Nothobranchius furzeri: one gene and its partner. The protein of the gene in region 2 binds, or shares a complex with, the protein of the main gene of each other region. Links are inferred from orthologs where the notes say so. Each region holds a gene or a part of one and is shown on either strand. Other genes may lie near its edges.

Region 1 (3,440 bases), on a different chromosome or scaffold from region 2:
AGCATCAGAAGGCTGAACAATAACCTGTAGAATAATTAAGGTCATCATGCTAGAGCAGCTTCTCTGTGGTGGACCACACCAGCTTCTGCCACAATAAATAATAATAATAATAATAATAATAAATCACACACAAAGTTGTGAAATTTCCTTTCTGAACTGTTTCTGTTGAGTTTTAATGTTTAAAATCTGTTAGATTGTTACTGACAGCAGCTACGTTTAAGTTTCACTTCCTGTTCTGACTGAACGCTGCTGCAGCATGGAGGTGTGGTTCTCAGTAGGGATGTCCCGATCGGGTTTTTTTGTCCTCGAGTCCGAGTCATCAGGAGGAGGTCTGAAAAAAGGCCTCGGAACCAAAAAGACAAATCTGACCTGTGTGTGAAACCAAATTCCGGGATCGAGCTGACGCTAATGTGTAAACGCCATTACACACATGTGCAAACAAACACACACACACACTACTTGTATAGAGAGAAGACCGATTCCCAGACTGACTTATTGTTCCAACCAAACTTTATAACCATTCAGCTAGTGGTTAGCATTTTGGTTGTACTCACTACTCTGGCTTCTCCATCAGGTGGTCTTAACATTTAAATATCGTCTGTTTAAAGAAGTAATCCGTCTGAAACCCCACTCCGGTACTGGCGGATGTTCAACAAGCAATCGGTGGACTGTCACATTCTGGCTGAGTTTTTTAGCACTCCTGAGGTTAAAATCCAACCATTTCTACCATCGAAACTCTTCTGGAGTTAGCGACACGTTTTACTGATCAGATGTTGGAGACTTGAGGCCTAGATACCAGCCCACTGTTGGGCTGTGTGTTTTATTTACTCCCTGGCCTACTGGATGGAGTTTTGTGTTTGATGCTGTTATTAGAACTTTACATTTAGGATGTTTATTTGTTTGTGTAGATGTACCTGCTTTTCACAGCAGCACGCTGGAGAGAAGGTTTCCTGTCCAGGCCCTGGTGCTGCCGCCAGCTCCTGCTTCAGCTCCACCACCACAACAGGAGGTGGACTCAGACGTGGTGGAGATCCTCATCTGAACTCAAGAAGAAAACAGCAATAAGTGATCAGATGGCAGCTTCATTCCAAATCAACGTGGTTCTGATTTGTCTTTATCCTCCACGTCTTAGACACCGATCCGCCCGGCGAGACTCCTCTGGTTTAGTTGTTTTTGCTGCATTTATTTAACATTTGCACCCTGATCGGGGACAAAAACGCAACCACCACAGTCCTGTTTCATCTCAGTTTTGTAGTTTGCAATAATGAAATAATACAGGTCATAACTTCTTATTTATTGGCTTTTTAGATGCTTTTTCCTTTAGTGCTTCAACAAAACTAGATCAATGGTACCGGGGTAGGGTCCCCACAATGATTCCTACAGATCCTGAGCACAGACCAGGCACCAGACGTCTTTCCACTCTGAAGCTTAAAGGGTAAATGTTTACAGCTTCTGTGTACCTCTTTTTTTCCTACGTAAACCTGACAGCGGGTACTGTTTATGTGAAATTCTTGGTACTTGCAGGACTCTGAAACTCTGCATGCTCATCAGCCCTGTGTACCGCCGTGATAGCAGAAATCTTAATCATCTAATCATTGCAGCTACATTAACCTCCTTCTGTTGGGTTGATATGGTGTTCATTAGAGCTGGAGTTTGGGAAACGGATACTAAACCTGACTTTGGTCATGTCTTTGTGCTCCATCTAACCTCTGGAAATACTGCAGACCTCCATACCCTTCCGTCTGCCACACAGTAACCCTAACCCAGCAGCAGCAATGTTACTTTGCAGAAACTTCCTTCAGCGTCTGAATCCAACTGCTTCTCCAAATCATGTGGCTTTGGTAAACAATCTGTAACGTGGAGGAATGTGTGTCACCTGCCACCTTCATGCTGGAGTTTTATTAATCTGCTCTTTGCTAACTCACTAACATCTGTTTATTCTCTTAGCTCATGTGTAATTTAATCAGATTGTTTATCAACACACTCAGTGTAACGGAAAAACCGTTTGATTTGATCAGAGAACAAAAGCCTCAGTTTGGTGACAGTGTTGTTAGTCTGGGTGCGTGTGTGTGAGAGGACAGCGAGCAGAAATGTTTTCATCAATCCAGAAATCCACGTTTGTGAAGCCTAAACCTCTGCAGACCTGGAGCATGCAGGGCTGAGTACGCCTCAGCGTTGGAGCTAGTAGACCGTCAGGTTGGACAGGATGACTCTGAGACCTGGGCTTCAGCCTATTTATGCAAATTACACTTTCTGTTTACTGTCTTGAGATCATTTCAGTTTTTTCAGCTCCATTTAAATTAGAAAAGTGGACGGAAAGCCATTCTTCACCTTACACCTGTATAAAAGACATTATCCTTTTAGCGGCTGCAGTACACAATAATGTAGCTAATGTATGTTTTTCATTGTTGTTGGATTTACTTTTTATTATCGCTGCACAATCAGCCACAAACCCAGCACAGCTCTTACTAAACAGTTTAGAGGATTTACCCCTAAAATCTCCACAGGGAGAAGGAAGGCCAGGCAGGAAGTGTAGCTACACGCCTAAACTCGGTTATCGGAGCAAAGAAATGTAGGTGTAGTACACCGAAGTTAAAATAAACCAATAACCGAAAAGCAAACTTGCACTACAGTAGCTGGTCCAGCAGGTGGAGCAAAGCAAAACACATAAAAATGAAGTTCTCCATCTGTACATGTGACTGCTCTGGAGATGAACACATGATGATCATGTGATGTCCAGAGCTCCATCAGCGGTAGAGTGACCCTTTGTTAGCGCATAACCAAACCCTGTTATGGTTTTATTCGTTTACAATAATGTATGTGTACTTCCTGTTACATTCTTAATGCCTTAAATAAAATAGCACTTTGAATCAACTCGGTTGTTTTTTAATGTGATCAATAAAGTTTAACATTATGTGAAACGTTTCTGTCTGCTCTCAGAGGTCTGACCCAGACATATGTCTCCAGACGAAGCACATTCTGCGGAAAGCCAACGTAACAAACATGTTGGCTAAACGACGTGTCGAAGGGCTACACCAGAGTAGACGAGGGTCAAAGCGGAGGTCACCAACACCACTATACAATAAAACGTATCTGAAGTTTGCTGAGATGTTTTTAATCACAAATGCATTAATATAGATCTAAAAACTACAATATTCTTTAAAAACAAATTATGTTTATTATACACAAGGGTTCGGTTTAATGCTGATCCATTCCAGTTCAAAGGCCAGTGTTGTACCAACCTGGTGGCCCTTCGTATAGCTCAGTACCCAGGAAGTGGCTCTCAGCTATACAAAGGTTGGTGACCGCTGGCCTAAAGCTTTGATCTGCTGCAGCAAACCAAACGTCCAGCTGATGGAATCCGAGTTCTCGTAGGAACATTTCCTAATTAAATTAAATAACAGCTGATCAGGGATTAAATGCTAAAGGGACGACCATCG
Region 2 (3,829 bases):
GTTTTGTGATTATTTCAGTGTAAAATTCCTAATTATTTACCAAAATATTACAAGGAAAAGACCCACAAGGGAGGCAGCTACTGCTCTAATAGTGGTAAACATGGGCCCCATGATTTCTGCAACGCAGACAATATAGAATCGTATAAATTAAAATTACCATAAAATGTGGAAAGTCGCAGAATTTGTTGATAACTTGATGCAAGCAAACAAATCCCTGAGTTTTATAAATTTCTTTAAGACACTTCACAATAAAGTTCACAATAAATGTGAGACTGCATTTGGCTGCTGAGGTGGTCTGTTGCAGGCATCCAACGTTAAATCTCTGCACCAACATCCAACCAAGGTCTACGATTCTTTTAAAATATTAAATTTCAGTAAGATTTCTTGAGCCTGGAAGAAAATATACAACAACCACAACAATCAATAATAAAAATAAAGGTTTTGAAACAGCTGGAGGCTCGGCTGAAAAACTCCAGAAGAAACTGAGACATCCTGAACATCAGCATCAGTAAGTCAAATAAAACACAAATATAAGAATTACAAGTATTGCAAAAATATGATTGCAATAATAACAACCAATTTAACGATATTTTAGTGTAATGAAATGTTCTTTTAATTTTATCCAAAGGAAAGGTTGTTTCTTCCCTCTCATTTTAATTCTATTTGGAACAAAAAGTGTGACATTTTTTATTTCATTATTTACAGGCATCACAATAATAAATATAAAAAATGTAAAATCCTTCCATTAAACCGTTGGCCATGTTTTTGCTATAATGTAAGCAAACATCCATTTGAAAGACAACTGTGTGAAAAATTGTGTTGTGTTACCATGTGTGAGCTCTTGGCAGCTTGTCTGGTGTTCCCCACTGCTCAATTGTAAACAGCTGAGGTCCATTAGAACCTGGAATAAAAGGAAGATTGTTTAGTTGACTCCTCGCATTAAAAAGCTACATTCCAGTACAAACACTTCATTTTAATAATCCCTTTAAAATGAATTCTTTCTTGGAAATCCAGACTTATGAGGGACCAACAGGGCTGATAAATCTATGTTGAAGGTTTAGGGCAAGCAGCAGTTTATTAATACTAAATAAAAAATCTAATAAAGAGAAAGTGATATGATGAGGTCACGCACCGTAAAGCTCAGCAAAACCATTCATGGGCACTCGTGATGTTCCCGTAACAAACTGAAGGAGTCGGATTCTCTTCTCAGCGTCCATCAGAAGAACAACCTTAAAAGAGGAAAATAAACACAGATTCATTTAAATGGTAAATGGTAAATGGCCTGTATTTGATATAGCGCCTTCTAGAGTCCTGGAACCCCCCAAGGTGCTTTACAACACAATCCGTTATTCACCCATTCACACACACATTCACACACTGGCGGGGATGAGCTACAATGTAGCCACAGCTGCCCTGGGGCGCACTGACAGAGGCGAGGCTGCCGAGCACTGGCGCCACCGGTCCCTCCGACCACCACCAGCAGGCAACGTGGGTTAAGTGTCTTACCCAAGGACACAACGACAGCGACAGACTGAGCGGGGCTCGAACCTGCAACCTTCCGCTTACGGGGCGAGCACTTAACTCCTGTGCCACCGTCGCCCCAACGCAAACATTATCAAAGAAAGTGTTTTTCTTTTTGGTAGATCACAAAGTAATTTCAGTACTCGGTTTATTTCTATAGCGCCAAATCGCAACAAGAGTCGTCTCAAGGTACTTCACAAAGTAAACATTCCAACACAGTTCAGCTCATTAAGCCAATCGGTAAAAAGTGTCCTACATAAGGAACCCAGCAGACTGCATCGAGTCTGACAAAGGCTCTGGCGTTCAGTTTGGCAGACTTAGCTTAGCGGTTTAGCATTAACTGTTGAATGATTCTTTCTTTGTGTTTTTAGTTCATGTTCAAGAGAATAGTATCTGTATATGAGAAGAGGTTAGGTCGACCGATATTGGTTTTTCTATTTCTGAAGCCGATACGTAGGAGACACGATCAGCCGATGGCCGATACGTAGGAGACACGATCAGCCGATGGCCGATACGTAGGAGACACGATCAGCTGATGGCCGATACGTAGGAGACACGGTCAGCAGATGGCTGATGTGTACTGCTGATTGTTATGGGTTTCCATGGCCGATGTCTAGACATTTTCTACCCTATCTTCATGCTAAAATGTCACTAATAACATCAATTGATGCAGAACATTCCTATAGCTGAATCCATTTTTGAAATTGAATTTTCAAAATTGAAAAATGTAAATGCCATTTTGTGCACTGCTCAGTGTTAAAAGTCAGACACATAAATAAAGTTAATTAGAATATTTATTATGCAAATGTTATTAATGATTCTAAAAAAACATTGGAATTAAATTCTGCAACAGCACCGGGCTGCTCGAGGATGTGCCTGAATTTAAATCGGCTTTACTAAGGACAAATATCGACCAATGTATATATAAAAAAAAAACAATAAATATCGGCTTCTAGTCTCAAATTCGAATGCCAAACTTGGCTTCAGCGTTCCTTCGTTCTGCTAGAGTCAGTGTACCTTCATTACGATGGCTGAGGTTTAGGAAACCAAACTAGCCGACGTTCTGTGTCACCGTGTCCTGATGAATCTAAAAGTGATGGCCCGAAATCAAACAGAAGTACGTTTGATGTGTGTGAGTACGTTAACGCTCCAGTCGAGATGATAACTAGGGCGGGTAATACTTTAAGCTCTTGCATCACAGCAAACAAGCCTGTTCTTTCAAACAGACTTTGATCTTCTAAAGTCAGGCCAGGAAATCAAGCCGGACGCTTACAGCCATGACCGGGACCCGGAGTTTATTGGGAAATATTCAGATTTTTGAGCTATTTTACATTTGACTGAATGATAAATAGTTGCATCTCAGATGTCAGAGGTGCTTGAGTAGATATGGAGTACACTGCAGTGTTTTACGTCTGTAGTCTCCTTGCTTATTTCCTTCACAGCTCAAGACCTAAACTAACAGATGGTGGTCTGTCTCCTGATGCAAGAGTTTTTACACAGGACTGGTTGTTTTCATTGAGGTGACCTATTCAAACATAAAAACGTTCTAAAAAGTAAATGTTCAGTCTTATTGAAGTCAGAGGGATCTCTTAAGTTTCTAAACGAGCCTTTAAAGTTTTAAATCCTGCTTAAATTGTGTTTAAACTTCACAAACTAACTTTATCATTTTCTAGTGTAAACACAAATCCAGTGTTTAGCTTGTGTGTCTCTACTGGATGTGGTTGCGAGTGCGTGTGAGGGTAGGTAACAAACCTTCCAGAACCACTGGATCACCGGATGGTTTGGGCAGTAGCCGTTCTTGTAAATAGTGTGTTGTCTCCAGTCGTTGACATCAACATCACCCAGTCCACACATCAGCAGCTTCACACACAATTTATTCACAGTCAGTCACACTTTCTGTACAATAATACCACATAATCATAGAGGAGTAACAGAACATCTCATTGGTCCAAAAACATGTAAATAAAATGTCTTCATCAAACAAGGTAAATATAATTGAGTAATAATTTAAAACATATCAAAGAATAATAATCTTGTTTGGATTTAATAATAAAAAAAGCCTCCACTTTACTTTTTATTTAAAGGTACGTGTCCATACCTCCAGCTCATTTTCATCAAAGATCTTGATCAAATCGATGGGAATGAGTTCTGTGAAGCCCTGAAAATAAAATGATTAATAAAATGATTAAAGTTGTAAATCAGTTAAATAAACATAAGGGTAAGGTTTGGAAACCAAGGTTAGTCTGTGGTTACATCGCCCCCATGTGGTAACTTTTAATCACTACACATAAATACCTCTAAGAAGGCA

Evidence for each region.
Region 1: the proteins of nedd4l (region 2) and amot are in contact, whole or in part, in a crystal structure (PDB 7LP3), measured with the Homo sapiens proteins. The link is inferred for Nothobranchius furzeri from reciprocal best matches to the Homo sapiens genes NEDD4L and AMOT. Residues at the interface, in NP_001138439.1 of Homo sapiens: Lys202, Asp204, Leu206, Arg208, Tyr210, Val212, Asn213, His214, Arg217, Thr218, Thr219, Gln220, Trp221; in NP_001106962.1 of Homo sapiens: His235, Arg236, Gly237, Pro238, Pro239, Pro240, Glu241, Tyr242, Pro243, Phe244, Met247.

The regions. Positions count from the first base shown.
Region 1 is NC_091750.1:44,152,545-44,155,984, reverse strand, and holds the end of amot (angiomotin), read left to right. Parts: intron 1-908; coding exon 909-1,042; 3' UTR 1,043-2,874; downstream 2,875-3,440.
Region 2 is NC_091746.1:58,544,850-58,548,678, reverse strand, and holds part of nedd4l (E3 ubiquitin-protein ligase NEDD4-like), read right to left. Parts: coding exon 3,817-3,829; intron 3,680-3,816; coding exon 3,620-3,679; intron 3,382-3,619; coding exon 3,274-3,381; intron 1,230-3,273; coding exon 1,133-1,229; intron 902-1,132; coding exon 829-901; intron 1-828. UniProt on the Homo sapiens protein: E3 ubiquitin-protein ligase that mediates the polyubiquitination of lysine and cysteine residues on target proteins and is thereby implicated in the regulation of various signaling pathways including autophagy, innate immunity or DNA repair.